Neodiprion lecontei: one gene and its partners. The protein of the gene in region 1 purifies or fractionates together with the protein of each later gene. This does not show direct contact. Links are inferred from orthologs where the notes say so. Each region holds a gene or a part of one and is shown on either strand. Other genes may lie near its edges. The genes, in order: serine-threonine kinase receptor-associated protein, SUZ domain-containing protein 1 and cold shock domain-containing protein E1.

Region 1 (9,440 bases):
CGGCTGCATAAATTCTGTACGATGGTTGTGATAATAAATTTGGCAATGCGCCGGTGAATTTTCGAGGGTCTTTAGAAAAACCGATTACAAAGATAACACAGGCCTGTGATGGTTTTCCCGTGACAAAACTGATTAATAATTTGGTTAGGTATTAGGAACGAAACGATGAAAAATAATTTCTTAAAATTCTATCACATAAATGTTCGTAGAATTTTTTTTACTCTTTTCTTAGTAATACTCGAGTTAACTTCCAATTTCTGTGGTAATTATATGTATTAATTTTAGTGATAATATTTGAATATTCATATACCCTCGCTAGTTGTTGTTTATGGTGATTTTAATCATATTTAGAGTACGTAAGTACAAGAGAAAAATATTGAACAGGAGTTTTGAATGAAATAGAAAAATATATCATAAGTATTTTTGACTTATCTAGACTCTTAAGTCTTCTTTAAAACTAACGCTCTTCATTTGATAACTACGCATTCACTTTTATATTCGTTATATTTTTTCTTTTTTCATAAAAATTGTTCAAAAATCTGCGTAAATATGTATATCTTGGATAAAAATGAATTTCAATGTGCTGCAAAAAAAGCTAGCGCTATATTTTAATTCAACATACCTGATACCTAAAAAAAAGCATTATTATTTTAAGGGTAAATTAAAAGTTATATGTCGCAGGCTTGTGTTATTATTACACGCGTGCAGAATAAGTCACTGCGTGTTGCCACCTGGCAGGCGTTACAACACGCGTGTTCAAAGAACACAAAATTCAAGCTACAATTGCTTCGTCGGTAAATGTACGTACATACGCTGTTATTTTATTAAAAAATATTTCTTCAACTCACCTCCATAGCAACGGTTTCCCGCCAGCCCAACAACCATCAGTAAAAACTTCACGGTCATAATCATATTTGCACAAAATATGAGCCGAAAAACGAAAATAAATATTGGACACAAAAATAAAAAGAAACTACGTCTTGTTCGGTTTTCGTTTCTTTTGTTTTCAAACGAACAACTTTTCCCGCCGTAAGTTTGAACAGATTTATCCGTACAACGTCAAACAGCACAGATTTCTTTATAATACCGTTTTCAAATCACTCGAATTTATCCATTATCGAATTACGTTCGTAAACCTGTACGTCGAATGGCTAATATTATTCATTTGTTTACTACGTTTTTTAAATAATCGTGCACGCTTAGAAGGGGATTCGCCCACAAGCTCCCCTGACGCGAGTCTAAGCCCGACTGCGGAGACGAGAGCTCGAATCTTTCGGTTCTGCAATACATGTTTCGTCCAGTGTGTTTGTGTGCGAATTCGATCACGTGACTACACAATTGCGCCGCGCAGGCGCTTTCAACCCCCGGTAACGCTGCCTGCTTTACGTTCTCGTCTCCAGAGGCGGCAACAACTTTTTTTTCTCACTTTTTCTCACAGATCGTAGTTGATATGCCGTTTCTCTATAATATGATTTTCGTCCTTTTAACAATATCGGTTGAGATAATATTTTCATCTGATTAAACTAATTTATACCATCCAACGTTGATTAACAAGGACGAAGGCTGATCATGTCGATTTAGAGTTAATTGCAGCATGAGTGGAATTACAATTTTTTTTTTTTGTTTTCACCGTCTTTTGGCAATTTCAATTTACAAATTGCTGACACAGAGCCGCATAGCTTCAAATACAACAGATATCGGCGATGCCTGTGTAGCGTTTCTAAGAAAATAAAAAAAAATAAAAAAAAACCGACAAATTTTGCCGTATATTACAGCAGGGCGAAGAGAATTTGCGGAGACGCGGGGTAAATAAAATTTTTGCACGCTGCTGCACGCGCAGCTCAGCCCAGCGTGAAAATAACTGACTGACCAGGTTATACTTTTCGTGTTTTATAACCGTAAGCCTGGACGAAATTTTTTTTTTTTTTTGTTCTCTTTCGTTACTCAAAACTCGACAATTACTCACGGTAGAATCATTTCGACCCGCAATTGCAGAACAACGTTCACGATTTAATCTGAAAATTGGATCAGCGACCACTCGGCGAAAATGATTGTTTCACAGCGTTGACGGTGTTGGGTGGTTTTTTTTTCTTTTGCTGTTTTTTTTTTTGTTTCATTCCGTACCGTTTTCCGCTTTACGCTTTGATTGTTGAAATTGCGTTCTCGAAATATTCCTATAAGCCCGCTGTCACGCACTTGTAAACTGTGTCGTTTATAACGAAAGCTGCGATTAAATATTCACCGAGTCAATACACCGTGCGTATGTTGTTCTATGCGGTACAAAGCCTCTCGCACCGCATTTATTCCCACGCGACTGCGGAGTTTGCTCAGCAGTTCAATTTCGCTGTTCAATATTTTTGTCGCCGACAATTTTACGGGAAGAGGATTAATTAAATTTTTAAAAAGTGTCGCCACAGTGGTCCCGGCGTCTTAAGCAAACCTCTCACTTGTCGTTTTTTTTTTCTTTTATTTTTTCTTTCTTCTTTTTCTTCCAAACATTTTGTCATTTTCTATTCACTCTCCACCGATTCTCACCTCGTTTTCTTTAAACATCCTGAAGAAGTAGAACGAGAAGAAGAAGAAGAAGAAGAAGAAGAAGAAGAAGAAGAAGAAAAAGACAACGAAAAAAAGATGGTATGGACCCGCGTAAAATGGAAAAGGACTTAGGTAGGAAAATATTATTCCTTCGACGATATGGTGTGAAAAAGTAAAACGCTCCGTAGCATCGGAACGAAATAATTTCTGTAATAAAATAGGTGTGCGAGGGAATAATTTTTCATCGATTTACGAATTACGATTTTTCAATTTACGATACATGAAGTATATTTTTTATGACCGTTAATTAACGCTGGGTCTCAGATTCACCCAAGTTATCAGCGAGCGCGAAACTCATGTATAAAATTTGCACGTGTATCGGTGTGTTTTAATTAATATGAAGAACCTCGCAAAGAGTTTCTATCGGCGTGAAGTCAGCCACCCCCCTCTGCATATATTTCTGCAATCTGCTGATACAAATATATATCCTCTTTATCTAGAACATTGAGATTTAATTAAAATAGCTTGCTTTCAGTTACGCATCGATGCCTGATTCGCGATCGGATGCCACGTTTCGCGGCGCTAATTAGATTTCGTTATTATTCTACTTCGTGTTTTACTTCGACGATTAGGCAGACTTTTGGAATATTTTTTCTCCCGTAAAAATGAATAGTCATAAAAAATGACTATTGCGTGTAAATCATTTTTACTGGCGGTGATAAGAATCCATAGAACGATTCGACAGGTCATTATAGCAGATGTAGAATGACGCGTATGAATTCTTTGGATTCTCCGGCGTATGCAGTGTACGGTATATTCGCTTAATTTATATCCCAAATAACCCCGAAACCTAGTTCATTTCTCGTCTAATTTCTTGCAAATAAAGTTTCCCCGTACAGTCCTTCGAAATGAAGAACATTCTTCACTGGCCCGCGGGATATCAATGTCACCGTAATTTTCCGGCCATTCAAATTAAACCCGTTTTCACGCTGACTCGCATTTCAACCCTTGAAATTTTAGAGGCGAGGGGAACCGGAAAAATGATAGGCTTATATTCTCATGTCTTGAGTGAAATCTCTTTAATGCGAACTGCACATGTACGTACATTTTCTCTGTAGTAAATGAAATAGAACTTTTTAATTCTATTTTTAAAGATACATCGGACTGAATAAAATTAAGGAGAACATCTACCCTCGAGTGAATTCTTTCATTTACCTTCCGATCCTAATTTTTTTCGTTATTTTCGTATTATTCATACTATGGACGGTTGTAAATGCGCAAAAAAATCATTTACAATCATCTGCAAGATTGATATTGCATGCAATCGTTTAAAGACCGTCCCTGATCAACCTTATAAGTAATACTTCTTGCACAATTGCAACGTCATTCATCATTCTAGCGAAAAAATACCAAAGATATTTAGAAGATAATTCCAAATCTTTTTTTTAAATATTCTTACACGTACTGAATGCCTTGAAGAACTAGGCATACATTTTTCTAGGATATAACAAACGACTGCAACGCTATCATTTAATTCTTTAAAAACAGTCTTGCGTTAGTCATTTTCAAAGTGCTGTAACACCTTCCTAAATGAATACAAATAATTGTTTAAGGATTCTGAATAATCGCCTATAAAATGCTTGTAAAGTTTGAAGAAAAAATCCGAAAGTATACAAGTCCATTTTCTAAATTTTTTTTTGTTTTTACGGATTGGGGCTCCTGCAGGCAGACAACTGGTATTACTGTCCGCGTTAATGTATATATGGTTGCTAGGTTCCAGGGGTAGCGACCAACTTCGAACTTTCATAATTCTAATCTGGTAAACTTTTTCTCATTAAATCCAGACCTGATCGTGTGTACACGAGTACCATAAACCGGAGCAGAAAATTACCGGAACAAGTTCGCCTTGGGATGCATTATAATCATTGCAGATTCGTTATTTAAAAATGTCACGTTCGAAAACAGCCGAGTCGCACAAAGAGGCTGCCCTGACAGCGTCCTTTCGCGTTGTGTGTGCGCGTCGCGATCTGCGTTTTACTACCGGTTAAAAAATAAAAGACATAGAAGTTGCAGTGTGGGGCGTCAAGTTTGGATAGAAATTTCATGGTCGGTCCATGAAAGCGTCGTCGTTGCACTTCGCAGTTGCAGGGAGGACTGGCGGCCATGATTTCCTGGCCAAAGACCCTGAAGTCTGAACTTGGCTGCGTATCGCGTCGAGTCGAGTCGAGTCGTCAGTCAGTCGGTCAGATCGTTTCGATTATTACCACCGACTACGGGCTTCAAGAATAAGAGACAAGATAGTAAACGTCTACGAGCGTCAAGACGGCGAAGCATCGTGTGCGAGAGGCCGTTGCGTCTCCACAACGAGGAATCGGCGCCGAAAAATACAAAAAAACTTCCAGTAAACTTAACTCTCGTCATTGTGCGTTGATATTTAGTGCGCGCTTTACGGCGACAGCGTGCGTTTCATATCAACACGTTAAAATATAAATGATGGCGAATTTGAGGCAGACACCGTTAACCTGTAGCGGGCATACGAGACCCGTCGTTCATCTAGCCTTTTCCGATGTTACGGAGTCCGGCTACTACCTAATTTCGGCGTGCAAAGGTAAGGATAAATAACGCCTCGATTACGCGCTTATGCGCTTCCGAATCCACTCATTTCTCCCGTCAATCTGGAATTGAATTATTTCTTCATCGTCATATTTCGCCTTTTCGTTAGACACTCTTAGGTTTTACCTGTCATTTATGCCTGTTTTTTCGCAAAATTCCTCTTCTTCCTCAATTCCTTACCCCTCCTCTTCTCCTCCTCTTCAAACAATGTTTTATTTTTTTTTCCCTCTTTCACGCTTTGGCTGTCCATTCCATTCTGGTTCGCCTTGGCCTAGTTTCAAACGATATGCCCAAGGCCCAGGCTACACTCGTGTACAGAGGCACATGCACAAGGTGCACATGGACGCTGCACGCTTTATGCTACAAGCTTTATCAGCGTGTCGGCGAATTCTTGTTGCCAATGAGAAAAAATCAATAAATTAGAAATAAGTTCGATAGAAAAATTTTACAGCCTCATAGCTGAGCGTACCGATTCCTACCTACCTATTGTCGCCAGACGTGTCGCATGCGGGATCATCCCTCACATCTACGGTGTCTGACCCCGAACTAAACCTTAGAAATGCATGCCTAATAATCCCACTCCCCCACCTCTCTCAACGTCGTCTCTATTTTGTATAGAAGAAATTACCACTATATGGCTAAAATCTAGGATATATCATCGTAGTACACATTGACAAACATTCTAGTGAGCCGAATATTTGTAAAATGGGAAGAAAAATGAGTATATGAATATGTCAGCGGTAACAAAATATGAATAATTATTTACAGATGGAAAGCCGATGCTGCGGCAGGGCGACACTGGGGATTGGATCGGCACGTTTGAGGGGCACAAAGGGGCAGTGTGGGGTGTCGCTTTGAACCCACAGGCCACCAGAGCAGCTACAGGCGCTGCGGACTTCAATGCCAAGGTGTGGGACGCGATAAAGGGTGAAGAAATTCACTCCTTTCAGCACAAGCATATAGTTAAGTCTGTCAACTTCAGTTCTGACTCAAATTACCTGTGTACTGGTTCCAATGAAAAGCTAGTCAAAATCTACGATCTAAACAAGCCGGAAGCAACGCCGCAAGTGAGTATAAATTTGTTTGGAATATAAAAATCCAAAGACAATTGGGAAAGTATAACTTGACTACTAATTACGTATTTTATTACCCTGCAGATATTTTCCGGTCACACTAGTGGCATAAGGCATGTAACTTTTTTCAAAAATGATACCGCTTTGGTTACCTGTGCCGATGACAAAAGCCTGCGTTTGTGGGATAGAAACAGCGGGCAAGAAGTGAAAAGACTCGATTTTCCAGCTACACCCAGCTCGATGGAAGTCTCCAGAGATGGCAACATCATTACGACAACTCATTCTAACGTCGTCACGTTTTGGGATAGCAAAGAGTGAGTATTAACCCTCTCTCCGCCCGACTTGGATTCCAAGTTCAATTATAATTCTGCATCGCCGATTGTCGTATGAAAAAAAGTAAATAATCTCTGAGGCAGTCAACAACGCAAGAAATTCCGATTTGCAGCCGTTGAATATTGTAGATTTCATCGGCTCAGAAAAGATTAGAGGTAACGGTACATACCTAACATGAACTTTCATTGCGCTGTATCGAGTGCAACAGGAACAGAGGTATTTGCCATGAAAGATATCCAGCCATTTATGGATGTACAAGGTCTGGTTCCGTGCCAGAGTGGACAGTTTTTACTTTCAAATAATGAAGACCATTTTACTTCCTGATCAGCAATGTCCCTGGCTTGAACAGCCATGGCCTAGAAGGAAGTTGGGCTCTTGTACATTTATTTTCATCTCCTGGTAAAGAGAACTACTTGCAATTGGCACAGGCAACTTGTTTACAACACGAGGAAGGAGAATAATGCATCGGCATTACTCGTTTTCTTTTTTTTTTTCATCTGCCATTTCTTCCAGAATTAGCAGAAAAAATATTGCTGCATTGAAAAGTTTGTATCCTACTCACCTGACTCGATTTGTTGATTGCAGGTTGACCAAGATCCGAGAGTTTATTGTTCCTACTCAAGTGAACAGCGCAAGTTTACATCCAGACTGCAGCATATTTGTATGCGGAGGAGAAGATCTGAAAATGTACAAATTCGATTACAGCACTGGAGCAGAAATCGGTACGGTATTTAACATTTATCAATGTTCCTACTTTACTTCATAAAATTCTTCCCTAAGCGTATAAGTACATTTTCTGTTTACCTACACTCATTATTCATTCTCGCAGCAGCAAACCGCAATTAGTAATTCTCTCATCAGCCAACAACGGAATGACAATACAGAACTGAGGTCACAGCATGCAGCATGCCTGGGCGTTTATAATATAAGGCCATTCTTAAGAGGCTTCAATCCTGTGCCTTATTTCCCCTTGAACTTCGTGCATTTAACTGATTTTTAGAAAAATTCTTCATAGTTTATAGTGACGAAATTTTTCCTCACGATGTGGTGTTTTTTATTTTTTTATGTTTACAGAATCTTTCAAGGGACATTTTGGGCCTGTTCACTGCGTTCGGTTTTCTCCGGATGGTGAATTATACGCGAGCGGATCTGAGGATGGGACGCTGAGGCTTTGGCAAACTACCGTTGGAAAAACCTACGGCCTATGGCGTTGTATCGAACAAACTCCAATGATTCCAGAAAATGCTGTACTCAATAACAAGCAAGAGGTCTCGGCAAGCTAAACGCCATATCTCAATTCATACCTCAGATGATAGTCTTGACCGTTAGATTATTCCAGGATGAATTTTGACGCGGGGATAAACGTCTGGCAACAATAAAAATTCCAAATTCCGTGATAACAGACGCGCGAAATCCTTCAAAATAAATTTTAGAAGAAAACCAAATTATATATCTAATTAATTTGAAGGTTGGTGTCTTCGGAATTGAAAATTTGCTCGTCATCATCAAGCATAAAAGTGTGAAATAGGAGAATATGAAAAATGAACGTTGAGAAACTTGTATTTGTTGGAATAAGTTTCATAATATTCCAAAGCTCTTGGTTGCGTTTGAATATGTTCTCAAGATTTACAGTTATCGCAATCTTAAAAGTTTATTGAACAACCATCAAGCTTCTTTTCAGATTTTACTCATCTCGATATCGTTTCTATTAGAACGGCTTTTCCTAAAGAGCTGAGCGGAAAAGCGATTAAGAAGCAAAAGTGACCTTACGTTAATTCGTGTCATATCGGTGACTCTGTATGAGAAGCTTTTGAACTACGAGTTTGTATTTATTAATTTTTTTCACTTGAATGAGACATGCAGTATAGTTATAATGCCATATAAACTATATTGTACACCTTTTTTTTCAAAAGCAGAAAAATAAAAGAAAATTAAAAAAATTTCCCGTATCGAAGGATAATTCAAACTGTATTTTCGCTTGGGGAAGCTTATGAAGAAATCTTCTGTACATAATATTCATGCTCATATTTATAAGGTCCCGAAAATATAGTTGTAATAATCGTTCGTCTGTACGTTTTTTTTTCTTAAGCACCTCAATGATCTATAAAAAGATGTGAAATAAAAAAGTCTAATAAACAACTGAATCAGCTAAATCATCCTAATCATTGAATTATATTCGTCGTTATGCGTTCGTTAGGGATCTGAATTTTTTTTTTTCATTATCAAGAATACTGTACGAGAATAACATTACTTCCGAATCGTATACGTCCAAAATACAATATGTTACAGTCGAATGAAATCGTATTACATGATGATGAACCGAATAAAGACGAAACTATTACCTGTGTATTTTAGAAAAAAATAATAATTAAAATTTATTATTAATATACACATACACGTGATATCATATCTATGTGTATAGTGTTACTATGAGAATTTGTAGCGGCTTATAGCTATGCGTGTGTATATGTATATATATATTATCTATTTTTATTTAGAAAAACAAAACAATAATTAGGTACAAATTAAAATCTATACAAACAGCGTTCGTTAGTACAATAGAAAACGCTGTAAATAACATTATTATACATACTTTTAATAACATATATTATATAAATTCTAGCACGTGTAACAATGTCCTTATTATAATTTTTATAAGGATATGATATTCCGGATTTTTTTTTTCTCAACCGGATTAAAAGATTGTTGAAAAATAATGAAACATCATTCTGTGGCAGTATTCTGTAGTAGATGCAGCTTTCCTAACAAGCCGTCACGGCGTCTTTCTATCGTTTCTAAAATAATCACCAAAAATTTAACTGTGGATACAACACTCGCACATGAAAAATTATTGTATCCACAATTTAGCGTGATTATTGCAGAAAC
Region 2 (7,431 bases), on another chromosome or scaffold:
CTCACCAATGTAGCCTGAATGCAAAGTTATAAATGACTTAATAGTGTTTGGAATTCCTCTAGGATTAAAATATATTGATACTGAATAATAGCTATATTTCTTTCGTAAACCACATTCTTTCTAATATATTATATACCAATTAAAGGAGAAAATAACGTAATAGCACATTGACCAAAAAAATTACTCAAGAATAAAACTACCACTTTAGTCAACTGCCAAGAGACACAATACAATATAAAATAAAGCCTATTCAAAATTAAGTTGTTTGCATTACTTAGGTGATACAAAAAGTACATTGTTCAAAGAAATATTTAGGAGTAAATGTCATACCGAGAAAGTTAGCACAGTTTCACCATATCAAGCACTTAGAATTATATATTTTGAATGGACGTAAACTTGAAGTACTCACCATGCTTCATCATGACTGTGAGGAATTTTACGATCACTTTGGAACAAGGGCGAAGCAGGACTTGCCTCTTGCCACGTTTCTCGGCATTGTTGATCGACTTGAGCGCGTCGCTAAGAACGTTCATACGCACCATGGCTGGAAATAAAAATATGGTTGTTGAGTATTGAGCTTAATACTACCTGCTTTATTTGAAACAAGTTGCCATTAGTTAGCTGACAACTGAGAAAGTGTACGAATAACGATAAGTATTTTGGTAGAGAATCAGTGCTGTGATTTCTGAAATAGCTCAGTGATTATAAATTATCGTATAGAAAAGAGACTCGCGTCACCCAAGATCATGATGACAGTAACATAACCTAAAAAAAAAAAGAGTAACACAACAGTAATCGGATTTGGTGACATCAATATCAGAACGATCAGACAGGCTTAGGCTATGCAAAATATCAAAGATTAAATTGTAACTTTTTCATGAACAAATTATTTCACAATATTCAATTAACGAGAACACGAACACAGAACATCACGAGTTGAATGCTCCGGCCTGTTGGCCAGGAATCGCGTACACGATGGGTATTTGAGAAAGAACGTGGAATAAAGACGTATAAACACACAACAGAGGTAACTGTAACGTAATTAATCTATTTCCACTTCGGATGCAGAACAGTTTTGTGGATTACCTGCGATTTATATTTTGTTTACCACAGCGACATTCACGCTCGGTTATCGCTAGCGAAAGAAAGATTCCGCAGGCGCAGAAGGTACAGGAAGTTCCCTGGACTAATCGATTTTCGAGAGTAACCAATCGAGCAAAGCGAGACTATCGTTTTTCTGGACAAACTTATTTACTTCCGGCGCCGAATCTCAGATTTGAGTAGACTCTCTACGTAAAACCGTGCTCATAGTAACATTTCGCACTTCGGAATTGGCTACAATTTTATTTAGGCCACGAATCCTTATATGTATTTCAGACCGACACGCTCCTACCGCTTAGATCTGAATAAAACTCAATCAATAATTTTGCACTTGAAACTCCGCTCAAGCGTACAATGGAATACACAACATGGATAATGGAATAGTATAAAAAATTTGCGGGTAGAATTTTATACCAGATTGTTTCGTCAATATTATTGTGTACAATAAATTTTGAATAAGGACAAATTTCGAACCGCGGTATTATGCCGAAGATTTTTTCCACGAATCATGCTACTTCTAGCTTAAAATTAGTCAAAATATTAAAATGTTGCTGGAGGTTGGAGATTAATTGGAATATCAATAGTAATACAACAGGAATATTTTATATTATTGAGGGTATTATGTACTAGAGTTCTCGATATCAGCAAGAATATTCTTGTCAAGCATCCCGATCAAGAAGAAACGAATTTCTACATCTTTCGTCCGCTATTCAGAAGAGATATAAATTTTTTTCCTAGTTCTGACGATCCCATTTGAATCAAGAACCTCTGGTCCATTTGTAACAGAAACGAGAAAATGAAAATAAAAAAAAAAAACTTAGTAAAAACAATGTCGAATTGGTATTATGTGAATATTTGTTTTGTGTAGTTTTTTTCTCTTTTCTTTTCTTTTTTGGCAACAGTGTCACGTTATTATGTAATTAGTATTTGATATTATTGGTACGTGTGTTCGGCGCTGTGCAATATGCGGTGGTGCGCTGTGGCCTGTTGGACGCAGATCCAAGCAGACTCCTTGTTGTTTCCAAGGACGTCACGCTCTCAGTTGCCAAGAAGCGCGAAGCTGCTTTCAGAATTCTGCGGTCGGCCTCATAGCCGCCTCTCCGCCTCCCCTGGGGCAGGGGAGGGACCAAGAGGATAAAGATGGGTGACGAGGGAAAAACCCTGGTAACAGCGCTACCTGCGGACATGGAAACCTCGGGTTCCATCAGGGCCAATTGGCATCCGTAGCACATTTGTAGGGAGATTACTCCCTGGAGGACTCGGTGGCTTTGGCTGGATCTTGTTTACTTCGCAGACCGATTTCTCTTCTGGACTTTTTTCCTCTCCCAGAATACGTTTGCGTGCCTCTGCATATTCTTGCTCCCTCTAAAAGTTACTCCATCAATTGAAGAAAGTTGTTTCTGCTAGATTTTGTTTATGTCAAATAATTACTAGTTTAATTGGAAATTAGACTGATTCATTTTTGTCTTAAAGGCTGATTGTAATGAGTGAAAAAGAGACTTTCTGGAAATGCGGATCGACATATACCTGTTTTAGGGATTTTATCGGCTGCTTCGGTTTGCCATCTCCATTGAGGAGAGGCCCGTCTCCGCTGCCTTGGGAATGCCTTGCTGGCCTCTTGAGGATCTTCACTGTAGGTTTCGGAGGGACGTATTGAGTGCGCAAGCTATCTTCACCAAGGATTATCATCCTTGTACTTGAATTTTCAGTACCTGTTAAGCTGTGCCAACTGAGATTAGGCAACGATATAATGAAACAAAACATATTTTCGAAAATTTGAATATATTACCTCTGGGGTTCAACATCGTCCAGACCTTCCAAGGGATTCAATTTTAGTGCCTTCAACTTTTTGTCCAGCACCTGCAACAGCATAAAGTCATCATCTATCATCATCATTCAAGTGAGAGATGAGAATATCACACTTTCTCTTGCAAAATATTTTTGTAGAGGATGTAACTTGTGGTCGCTGGCTAAAACATTAACCCTTGAGTACTGCACCGAGTTACGTTACAATAGTCTGTTTGTAAAGCGTGCTAAACTTGTCTTCATTTCAGTTCATTTATCATATCACGGGTACTAGAAGTTGCATGTTATTCTTATGTATATGTTCTTTTTCTTTACTGTCTGGCGTATCTACAAGAGGAATAAATATTTTTTATATCGGTATAGTTGCAACCAGATATATATAGGTAAACGGAGATGCTGGGGTATGCTATCAGTGTCTGACGAATCCATGTCGCTGGCATAATGTGGTGTTCATGAGTTGAAACATAGGTATACGCATGCAAATATGCAATTTCTTAATGCGAATTCCCGACATTGCCTTTTTTTATATCAAACTCTTCGGAAATGACACGATTCACCTGTACGCAGGTGTGCGGTGTGTCCATGTGTACGTGTGGGTGTTTGCATATACATGAACGCGAATGGGAACCAAAAATAATACATGCCTGATGACAAAGTGACTGGACTTGTTCCGGATTGTTGAACGATCTCCGGGTAAAAGGATGCATGCAATAGAGAGATTTCGATATACTTTTAGATATGGTGCAACTGGATAATGGGGAAGATTTTAAGAAAAATATAGGTTAAAGTGAGTGGTCTCGAACGGAAGAATGTATACGGGGTGCGTGTCGGATATAACTGAAGTTGCATGGCTCCGAATTGATATTGTACATCAGCATACGCTCACCCCGGATTCCTCCATTTCTTCCCAGCTTTCGTAGACATCGTCGACAGCTGACATTACGGGCGCTTCTGGCGATATTAGGATCTTCCGAACAGCTAACGAAATCTGTGACACGACGACGAGCGCACCACCAGACTTAGAAGCAGTTAAAAAAAGAGGAAAAGGCTCCGTATGCCCCTCATAAAAGTTTTCAACACTCTGAACTCGTCGCGGTTTGTTCGACAAGTTAGCCAACGTTACGGTTTTCACGCGGCCCGCACAAAATTCCCATAGCTTCATTACATACGAATTACATTATTCGAATCGTAAAGAATTTCCTCGATTTCCAAAAATTGTTATTCATTCGGCAACTAGATTTTTTCCCTTATAATTATCTAGCTTGGATTTAATCAATTAACCCATCCCCAATTGTTCTGCACTTGCGGCATCTCGTGTCTGCGGAAGTTCAGACCATATTGGTTCAGACCAGGAAGTTCGAGAGGAGACGAAACTCCGAAATACCAAGTTGGGCCAGGTTTCAGCGCAGAGTTAATAGTGCCGATTTTATTTGAGTTATTTAGTCGTTTAAATGTTACGATTATTATATGGTTTACATATTTCGAATGACCAAAGAACAGGAACGCAATGAGTGGCAAAAATCGGTACTACTATCTCTGCTTCTAAAATAGGTCCAATTTTTGTTAGCACGCAGGCTTGAGGCAGAGAGCTTAAGGTTCGTCTCCTTTTCTCTTACTTCCTCATTCGGATATGTTCAGACCACTAGTAGTTCCACTAGAGTCTGTTGTCTCTCCTGCTCTCCAGTGCTCCAGTCCACTCCAGTCTCTCGCGGGCTGTTGTCCGTGTTTGATGTTCATTTATGATGCCGTTTCTCGTAAATAAAGTGAAAAAGAGGAGGAAAGTCGACGATATGGAATAGAGTAATATTTTGCAGTTTCTCTTTCCAGATCGTGAAAACTTGTATAAATCTTGTAATTAGCTCATCGGTAAAATACCGTAGAATTTTATAGGGAAGTAAATCGGTAAATGCGAAACGGAACGTCAGCTGCAAGGAAAGTGTTTTGACACATTTTTCAGTGCCGGTACGTAAATTTTGACCTTTGGTAATTATTCATGATTTAATTGCTAGGGTCGGACGAATATCTGTCCTCGCGAATTAAAATGAGAGTCCGGTTTCGAGAAATCACGTGTGACGGTGTGTTTGCCACTAAGAAGTAATAAATTATTGATTTCTTTATGAGGCTATTTTATGCCGATTGTAACACCCCTTTTTATAGTTTCTATCACTCTCGTAGTACAACGTCCTGCTACGTCTGTCTTATCGCGTTTTTTTATCATCACGCATGTTCAGAAAATGTGCTCGTGGAACGATAATTAGAGCCCAATGGAATATATTCTTGTTCATCAGACTCCAAATTAGCTCCATTCTTTAATATTTTCTTCAGAACTGTTTTTCAGTTCCAGTAGGTAAACTCGAGGAAAACCATACTAATATATTGTACAAATGTACACCTTCGAATAAGCTGCACACAACTCAGTGTCCTAATATTTATCATTTGTTATTCTTCGATAAATCAACCAATGTATATACTTTATTAGTTATTTGTTCAATTGCGATAAAGAGTCGGTTTACGATGCATATTATGTTACCCTATAAAAAAACTTTTTGCTGCAAGGAAACATTATTGTACACATGGTGTAAATTATTTATAAGTGTAGTACAGGTTCACAGACTTGTGCAAATAAATTCAATTATAGACATCAAAAACCAAATTCAATCATAGTATTTGAGGAATATAAATGTGCTATACTCAATCACAAAAAATAAATTGTGAAACTTGCTCAATGAATATGATTGTATTTATACAACACTTAATGCACATTCATGGGGGGGGGTTTATTTTTTTCTCTTTTATCTACTGATAAACAAAGAAATTAAAGGAAAAAAAATTAATATTAACGGTAGAAAAAAACTGATTTGAAGGTACACACATTTTTCTCATACGGTTTTTTTGAATTCCACAACAGGTATGCAGTCTTAATGTCGAATAGAATTATATTTTGCTATCTGTAAAATGTGCTTGTCTAAGCAAAAAGTACTTTGATGAGCTGCTGAACGACACATTTCCACTTTCTAAACCTTGTAGACTGATGACTGGACGTAGTGTTATTGTTGTTATTAATATGATCAGAGATTTTTAGTTTTTCTATTTTCTACATGTAAATCCTGAGTTTTTGAATTCGTTTTTGGAACTGATTATTTTTCGTCGTAATCAATTGGTTCATGAAAGTAATAAAAAACCGTTGATACATATGAACTGATTCACAGGATGTAGTTTCTTTTTGAAGCACTGATTAAGTGCATTTTGTGATAAAGCTGATAATTATTTTTTTCAATATTTACAGTTAGTTCCAAACTCCAAACACAGAGAGCGAGAACTTTTACGTGAAGATTTGGCAGTGGACCAAATAGATTGCCTACTTGTGTATCCATACCCAACAATGATTATCTCTTGCACTACATACGCGATTTTCATGGAATTACATTTTGTTTTGGGCTAACGTAAACATTGGGTAAAAAAAATTCTCTATTATGGGACAGCAATGGATACCGGGTCTAGATGGTAAGTTGTTCAGAAACATTTATCTAACATTACACGGTAAGTCACCAGAATCAAAAACCAAAATACCAGTGAATCTGGAAGAACTATAACTAGAATTGCAATTATTTTCTCAAGGCCTTGTTTCGTTATACCACTTTGCCTGTACTTTTGTAGATATGTAAAACATTGTCAAGTGCAACGTTAAGATCGTAAACTGCACAGTCCTCTACTCTGACATTAAATACAATGAAGATGGCGGAGGTGGTGGATTTAAGGTGCTACGAATATTTATTATTACTGATATTAGGTGGTCGTGGTGGTCGACGATTTGTACTGACACTTGCTACAGGAATGGTTTTCGGGTTTCTTTCGGCTTGCTTCCTTCTTGCAGCAACAAATGATGCTCCTCGCATGTTTAACTGGATCACTGGCAGCCCTGCGTTATCTTCCAGAGATCCTCATCATTACTCAGAGCTTGAATCAGAGGTATTGACTAATCCGTCATAGAACCCAATCCCAAATGCATTACTAACTCCATAGTTATACTTTGACTTCCTTTACTCTAAAATGGAACAAAAGCTAATAATTATATCAGTCACTCGTAGAGCTAGATCCAAAGTTCCCAAAAACTTGTAGTATCTGATTATATTAAATACGAAATTCAAAATGAATCTCACATCAGATCAGGATTACTCAATTGTAATGTATTGGCATCATTCACCGACATTCTTCACATCGTGCAGGGTTACTGTTTAATTCTTGTTGTCTACCTCGTATAACAGTAAGGTTTGAATGTAAAGCTAAACTAGGAAATTATATTGGAGTAAGAAATCACGAAATATAATGAAATGAAAGTGATTTTACTTTCAGTCAGGCCCAGAAACGGATGTAAAGTTTCACGGAGCTGATGAAGAATTTCACAAAGGGGAAGATGAGGTTGCCCAGGAAATGGCAAAGAAAATTAGGGTTCTTTGCTGGGTAATGACTGGTCCAAAGAACCATCAAACTAAAGCTCGTCACGTGAAAGCTACTTGGGGTAAA
Region 3 (7,843 bases), about 3.0 Mb from region 1:
GCATTTATATTCAATAATTTTTTCATTTGGAGTAAAATACAATTTGAATTTCCTTTGTCAATTATAAAGGTTGTATTTCCACTCGCGATATTTGTCTTCGGCTTCGACGGATCTATCGAACAATTTTATTTGCTATTGTACATTGTATCGGTCGTCGGAATGTTATTCACGGGTGTTTTATGCGTCTACCACTTTCATCTCATTTTTCAAGGACTGGTTTGCAACGAGAAGAACAAAAAAGACTATTCTTACAACTTAGGGTTTAAACAAAACATTCTTGAAGTCTTTGGCCATAAGTGGTATTTTGCCTTATTCAATCCTTACGTTGAGTCTATACTCCCTCATGATGGTATCATCTGGGACACGGCATCGTCGTGGAAACAAAACAGTGAAAAAACTAGATAAAATTGTTTTGTCATGGCAGTGATTCTGTTCTTAAATATGTTTCACAACCTCAAGAACAAATTATTATTATTTGTAAAAGATATGGAAAAACTATATCATCTGGTCATTGTTTATTGAACAAAAACTATAAATTGATGTATATTAATGATTTATCTTAAGAAACACATTCCCCACGAATTGTAGTTAGAAATATAGGTGTTGAAATTGCATTTCTGCTTATGAGATAAATTTTGCTAGTCTGTGCAATACTTTCATTCAAATTCTTCCACGACATTAATCTCATTCAGTACACACAAAAACCAGAAACAACTTTTTGCACATTTTAGAAAAATGCTGTGCCTTGCAGGGGAACACACACAAACATAGAAATTTAAAAACTTAAATATTATCAATATTCCATTCAGCTTTTGCAATGAACAAATTTTATTCCTCAACACTAGTTAGTGAATTATAATCACTGGAGTCACGAATTGTTTTTTTCTTAATATATCATTATTATAAGGTTTCATCATTTAAAAGTATATGTCTTATGTTTTTGGTTTTGGAAACGGTATCGTCAAACATAACTTAGGAAGACTATATAATCATTCAGTGAAAGTGGAGTAAATTTTAGAAGTATGGAAAACATCGTTCTGGAAACGGGAATTCTCAGGGTACTTTTGATTTCACAGCACATTCTGGTTAATGATGTATTTGAAATTTTTTTTCTATTTACAAAAAAATTTTTCCCTGTAATATACTGTATTCATTTAGTTTCATAATTCATAATATATTAGTATTTAAATTTTTCATATGATTTAGGAAATTTAACAAGTTCAGTTACTTCCATCAGATAGCTTACAACCATCTCATTTCATATCATGTGATTTTAATTTGACTTAGTGATTTGAAATGTGAATGCCTTGAAAAGAATGGTTGAAATTCAGCTCTCAATTTTATCCACAACCGCATCCACCACATGGTCCCGGAGTGTAAATGTTGGATGATCCTGTATTTGGTCTCCCAAGTCTGCGCGAAGGTGGACGTGGTGGACTAAATACAAAAAAAAATCTCAAACTTGCTCTTAGCACAAATCAATTCTGATGCATATCTTGTTCGAAATGAATGTGTAATTCTGTTAATTCAGATAATGAGTGACAATAAATAGTCATTTTTGTCTGCATTGAGTTCTAGTTCACCAATCACGTGGAAGATTCTAAAATAAATTCTCTGCTTTGCCTACATTGATTGTCTAATCCTGTTCTGTATCAGATCAATGCAGTATAAACATGGCCAATAAAAAAAACAAGTCAATCACTAGATCACAGTCAACTGATACAATCGATCATCTTAAATTTCATTAAACTGGTGTAATAAGAGTAATATTCATTGCAATAAAAGTGATTAATAACACGCTTTTGTGCATGAAGTAGTGATGTTAAAGTACCACGACTATGGTGTACGAACATGCCATGAATACATACATAATTTACAAAAAGTATAATTCTTTTTTCTTAACTTTGAATTGCATCATCCATTTCATTTTACTGAAGCATACTGTACATAGCATAATTTAATAACGATAGAAAGTCTTAAGCTAAATAAATACTGTAATGTACCCTGAGCCAGGCCTGTAGTCCCTTCTGTATGTGCCCTGATTGTACGAATCCTCAGATGTTCCAACAGCGTTTAAAACAGGGCTGACGAATGACTTGAAACTATAAATATATAAATTCTATCATCATGAGAAATTATACTCGTATCATTCAGAATTAATAATATAAATTTATATCAGTAACCAACTATAGTACCACAGGAATCCATTGTTGGTCGGCTTAAAAGTTTGTGACCATTCAAAGAATGAAAGTATCCAACCAAATATATTGAAATAGCTTCTTCTATTTATATCACATTCAAAATTTTGAGATGGACGTACCTAACTGTCTTTAATTGTTAATTTATATCGGCAGTGATCGGATTGTGAATCTAAGTATGAGGTCACAAAATTCTGTCAATGGATTTTGCTTTCTTCAATACCTCTGAAGAATGTAACAGGTTTGACAGCGATTCTTTTGATGCAATTATTTATTTATTTGCACACCTGTTTTTAATAGCAGGTGTGTAATAAAAATATGAATAAGAGTTCTGTACTACATAAACTTTTTTTTGCATGCTGGTAATAAATGGTATAGGGCAATTCTTGATTGATAAACAAAATTAAAGCATGTTCTAGCTGCAGAACATAACCTCGAGTATTGGCTGGATCAAAATATTGTCAAGGGAAGTTACACACTTGTAATTTATAAAAAATTCTGTTTTTCAATCAAAAGTTTACCGTTGGATCAGAATGACGAATTAACTTGAAACAGTTTCCTCGGGCCTGTTAATAATCATATCACAAACGTTCCAAAAGTGGGCCTACCTACTATCCGTTTGCAGTGGTTAGATGGGTTTTTTCTATTCAAAAAGGGGGGCTCTTAGGATGCTTAATGTCATTATTACTTACAACATGAAAAACATGTAGAAAATTCCCAAAAAAAATGAAACCAGTCTACGCGGCCAGGGTTCAGTCTGGAGCACAGATCCATCTGAGAATTGGTATAAAATTTTTTACGTTATATTTGGGTTTTTGACATTTTAATATTTATTTTCGATAATTGTCAATATATCGTTTACCTTGAGAAACGTAAGCCATGTCGCACTCTTGGAGGTTCGCGAACACTTGTCAGTTATCACTTTCTCAGCGACGTCTTTCCGTCACCTGCTGTCATTTGCCACTATTGGTGACCTCTCGTATGTAGAAATAATGGGATGATGCCACGCGGGAGTTACTTCATGGCTTACTCGATGCATGTAGTAGAATCACTAGCAAAACGGATCCGTCATGTTTGGTATCCACAGCGTCCCGCTGGTGACTGCGAGTTAAGGCTTTAAAAAGTCATAAAATTCAAATTCAAATTTGATTGAAACGTGAAATAAATAATCAGCGTACTCCAACAAAAGTAACACTATTATTTATGAATGCAACTTTACAATCAGGTAAACTACAATGCCTTATTCATTTATTTTTTTTAAATCAGAGTTTCAGCTCTTGAAAGTTTTGGCTCACGGCCACCTAACATCGAGAATAAGTAGCCGTAAAATATTAAATCTAATTAATCAATTTGTCCATAAATGTTTACGCCGACGTCACCAGTGTTCATACACTTCAAGGGTCCTGGCATCCACTCTATCCCATACTCTTTGGGTCCTGGATAATCGATGTATCTCAAGAAGGCTGTGGTTCCGAATCTCTCCGCAGTTGCTCTTGTTTTGTATGTGAATGCTAAATGTTGACATTCAACATGGCGGCATGTCGTCAGTGCTGTGCTGTGTCGTGGTGAGTTTTGTAAAAAAATTTAAGATTATGTGTCTTCGTTACTTTAAATCTAGTTTACAATGTTTTATTATACAACTTTTAGTACTCTTCAGTAACGCTGCGGCGAGTCTCAATACAAATCAAGTAATATGATATACCAATTAACGGAATGTAGTTAGAAAAAATCTAAATACTCCACAATGAAGCACACACAACACATACATCGGTACAATATTTTGTGAAACTTTCGACTATAAATCAACATACGCGTATCTAAATTGAATTGTTCTGACTGACTAACTGCCGTTCCATCATGGACATTTTACTAACGTACTTTCGTGTGAGGTCAATCATACACCGTTTCTGTGGCCAGGTTGACACTGCTTGCTCCAATTTCTTATACAGCTACTAAAACTAATACAGTTACTATAGCGTTTTGTGCTTGATAAGCACGTTGTAGTTTATCAAATGAGTCAAATGATTTGCATGTCCAATAAGTACTCCGAAAGTAACGTATCCTATTTACTTACATTTTTTTCTAATCACTACCAGTTCACGTCAGTTGCGTAGCCCGCATATCCATTACCAAATAACTTGCAAACATTGCATTCACGACAAGCTCTTGTAATCTACCAAATATTTCGCAATGTTGTTGCTACTATTTCATTGGCTTGAATGTATAACAAATTAAATAATTTCTGATAATGAGTAATGTTTGGTAATATAGATTGAGTCATTTTACATTTGACAGAAAGAGAATTGGTGAAACAATACACTTTTCACAGTTGTTAAATAAATGTATCATCTGCTTCAAAGATAATACCATCTGTCACTGATGTTGTCTAAGATTCAAACGATGACGATGCTCATACTGTTCTAAGTAGCACAGTATGCCAACCTACATTCGCTTTCAATCTATTGAGAGTTCCTTTAATACTTTATTTCAAATTGAATTCAAGAGCAAAGTGCATTTCCAGGTTCTTTTTTATATTACTTGTGTTTGAAATGTCATTGGAGCAAGCAAAATAGGCTAAGTTGAATATTTGCATTCACTTATATATATGCGAAATTTCGATGCAAACCTGTTTAAAGTGGTCCTTGATGGCGCTCATGTATCAAGACATCTCGGCAAAGATTGAATTAAATTTACAAAAACTTAGAACACTTCATGCAACTCATATTAGATGATGACCATTCCCATTGCTTAATCAGTCACTTAAGTACGTTTGTTTACCTAGATTCGAAATTCAGGTTACTACTGGTATAATTTGTAAGATTCACTCATCATATTCGTCGACGATAATGTAAATTATTGCCAAAAAATCAGAGATTTCTGTTCACGAAAATCTGGAAATTTAAGTTTTTATCTTCAAATGTTTGCCATATCGAATGAGTAAAGATATTTCATGTTTAAGATCCAGTCGATATAATAAGCTGATAGAAGTTACTTATTTCCTATAAATGTTGTCTAATTAACCTGCAATTACTGAACACAGAAAAATCTCAGTTTTTTGATTACTCTTGATTAACTCTGTTTTTTGTCAGCAATGTTTAAAATTTAAATGAACGGGCAAAATTATTCCTTAAAATTTTGGCAACAGGAATCATAAATTAATGTTTTTCAGCCCCTCCCCTACACAAATTTACCATATCAAATTGTAACAATCAATCACTTTTTGGCAACAATATCTCTATTATGTGTAGAAAAGGAATAGCGTATAGCCGACTCTCTCGATAGTGCCTCTCGCAATAGGGCCACTTCCCTCAGCAGGATTTCCCACTATTCCAGTTGAATATAGCGTAGCCACAGTTTTGCCAGATACTCTCGCAATACGGCCGGCAATGAAAGTAAATTGTTGGAAGAAAACAGCATAGCCCTTACAGATTTTTGATGGCCCTATTGCGAGAGGCTCAGTTCAAAGCGATATAAATCTACCTCAAGTTCTTTAGTGGAGGTATGCAAATTCTTAGAAATATCATACCCTACACCCCCATAACCGACGCTGTACTTAGAAAATTGAAAAACTTCAAGCACTGAGTTACTAGAAATATTAGAAAATTGTGTAACAGAAAAGCAGGGGCAACCCTGTAATCCCATTCCTGGAAAGTTAGACAAACAATAATTGATGAAGTTTGTAAAGTCAACATAATGAAACATTATTCTCTCTAAACCATTTTTTTGCAACCTCAGAATTACTTTTAAGAGGCTGAGTTTGCAAAATATGAGTTTAGCTTGCTTTATTACAATTTACTGAATTTCAGGCAATACTAAGCTTTCAAAACTGTTTTTCGATTTACTGTTTTATTTCTGACTTTTATCCAATTTTTCGTGCTCAGATTCATCATAGGCATGGTCCATTATAAAAACGTTTAATTCAGTGTACGTAAACGTTAATTTTATCTACTCGTGTTCTAAAGATTTGCATAAATTCTTTTCACCATGTCAATTAGAGAACAGCTCAAATCACATCACTCTGTGTGACTAGCAATACGTTGTAATTTGAGCACATTTATTCAGAACCACTCATTTTTTTAAGTCAGTCTGAAATACTCAAAATACTTCTAAATTTTGATTATGCATCAAGTACTGTTTTTTCTATTTTATCAGCAACGTGAATCATATGACAATTTTCGACACTGTATTATCTAAACATAAATTTTTGACTTTATGCACAAATCCCACATGCACATGATTTTAACAGACACTACGTGTGAATTATTATACCGTGTGTCGCATATGCTAAAATGGTAGGAATTCAGTGTTCCATCAAAACAGACAAAAAATTTTACCCAACGTGAGAACTGACACTGTCAACAAGCTAAAACAGTACACACATTTCTACATTAATGCTTTCTGAAAACATATCGCCGCTAATCATCGTGTTTTCCGTTCATTCAGTTCATTTCTATTTTCTGATCTAGATTATTGCGCTCGAATTTCCAGAGACATCCTATCTATAGTGGCGTGTTTTAAGACGATGATGAAGCATTAAAGCAAAAAAAATTGTTAGTTTTAAGAATATTGGTGAACTTTTGTTTTGTTAGGACAAAAAAAAACAATTCCAGCAATTCCAAAATTTATTTTAATGATTCTGCTAAAAGAAAAAACTATCACAACGAATGAAAACTGTTATAAACAAACTCCTCTTGGTCTAAAAATATTTGAAAATAACAATACTCCAGTTCAATATCTACTTCAACTACTATCCAAAGTATCTTTGATGTAGTATTCCTAAGATTAGATAATATTGGTGTAGTTGATTCATGATTGTATTATTTTTTTTTGTTCCAGATTGTGTAATTGTTAGTTTAGGATATTTTTGAAATCAACGCTCACTGTAAATTCCACATTTAAAAGCTGAAGAAGAAAACGATACTCTAGAATTATTGGAACGACACAACCACACTCAGCACGCATTGAAGACATCTGAGGATTTTCAAGCCAACATTTATCCTTTAAATCTCCAATGTTTTTGATTTATTCCTTTTATAAAGGATGACTGATGTTTAAGAAAAACACAGTTATTCTCGAACAAGCTAAATTTAGTAATTATCAAACAGTTGTTATGATATTATTAATGCAAAGATTCGTGGAAAGTATTGTTCGTATGATATGATGTGTTAAAATATTTTGTACACATATTAATCATTCGAAATACTCATGCTAACCGTATTGTTCGTTTGTAAACTGTGTATGCAACCCGCTTAATGAAAAGGAGCTAGGTACTCTGCGTAGTGGTGACCCTGCGATTGTGATTGCTGCCTTGGCTGGGATTGTGCTAATTTGATCTGTTAATGGGACAAAAGAATTATCCACAATTTGAGAGTGCCAAGTTTGCTAAGAATAAGAACAGCCGTGGTAGTTCTCGTTAAACAATCTACCACAATTAACAAGATACCCGTGTCACCTTCCTCCCTAGTTGCCGGTCACAAGAGAATCTGCATTTCAGCAGCGTTTCCAAACAAAAGGAAAAAAAAAAAAAAAAAAACACGCCTTTCTCCCTCTTTGTTAAGTTCTTGTAACGTTGTAATAGTAAACAAATATATAAGGTACCAAGAACCATTCTGTGATATCTATGTTAACACTTAAATAATTGAAAA

What was found.
Region 2: the proteins of serine-threonine kinase receptor-associated protein (region 1) and SUZ domain-containing protein 1 purify together in Homo sapiens (co-immunoprecipitation; 3 studies listed by BioGRID and IntAct, counting the BioPlex papers as one, with this or other methods). This does not show direct contact. The link is inferred for Neodiprion lecontei from reciprocal best matches to the Homo sapiens genes STRAP and SZRD1.
Region 3: the proteins of serine-threonine kinase receptor-associated protein (region 1) and cold shock domain-containing protein E1 purify together in Homo sapiens (affinity purification with mass spectrometry; 3 studies listed by BioGRID and IntAct, counting the BioPlex papers as one, with this or other methods). This does not show direct contact. The link is inferred for Neodiprion lecontei from reciprocal best matches to the Homo sapiens genes STRAP and CSDE1.

What each region holds. Positions count from the first base shown.
Region 1 is NC_060261.1:3,933,528-3,942,967, reverse strand, and holds serine-threonine kinase receptor-associated protein, read left to right. Parts: upstream 1-4,536; 5' UTR 4,537-5,025; coding exon 5,026-5,143; exon of another isoform or gene 5,144-5,210; intron 5,211-5,274; exon of another isoform or gene 5,275-5,538; intron 5,539-5,631; exon of another isoform or gene 5,632-5,679; intron 5,680-5,916; coding exon 5,917-6,215; intron 6,216-6,305; coding exon 6,306-6,535; exon of another isoform or gene 6,536-6,588; intron 6,589-6,723; exon of another isoform or gene 6,724-6,910; intron 6,911-7,116; exon of another isoform or gene 7,117-7,139; coding exon 7,140-7,276; intron 7,277-7,628; coding exon 7,629-7,837; 3' UTR 7,838-8,469; downstream 8,470-9,440. UniProt on the Homo sapiens protein: The SMN complex catalyzes the assembly of small nuclear ribonucleoproteins (snRNPs), the building blocks of the spliceosome, and thereby plays an important role in the splicing of cellular pre-mRNAs.
Region 2 is NC_060264.1:3,069,147-3,076,577, reverse strand, and holds SUZ domain-containing protein 1, read right to left. Parts: upstream 3,766-7,431; 5' UTR 3,615-3,765; coding exon 3,552-3,614; intron 3,482-3,551; exon of another isoform or gene 3,459-3,481; intron 3,376-3,458; exon of another isoform or gene 3,339-3,375; intron 2,962-3,338; coding exon 2,891-2,961; intron 2,831-2,890; coding exon 2,629-2,830; intron 2,505-2,628; coding exon of another isoform or gene 2,467-2,504; coding exon 2,275-2,466; 3' UTR 1,689-2,274; downstream 1-1,688. Other genes in the region: 40S ribosomal protein S15Aa, read right to left, coding at 1-14, 410-542; glycoprotein-N-acetylgalactosamine 3-beta-galactosyltransferase 1, read left to right, coding at 6,381-6,411, 6,698-6,876, 7,261-7,431.
Region 3 is NC_060261.1:6,942,873-6,950,715, forward strand, and holds the start of cold shock domain-containing protein E1, read left to right. Parts: upstream 1-3,653; 5' UTR 3,654-3,763; intron 3,764-3,789; exon of another isoform or gene 3,790-3,886; intron 3,887-3,948; exon of another isoform or gene 3,949-3,968; intron 3,969-7,034; 5' UTR 7,035-7,843. Other genes in the region: probable palmitoyltransferase ZDHHC24, read left to right, coding at 1-405; selenoprotein K-like, read right to left, coding at 1,341-1,437, 2,004-2,102, 2,891-2,972, 3,061-3,079. UniProt on the Homo sapiens protein: RNA-binding protein involved in translationally coupled mRNA turnover.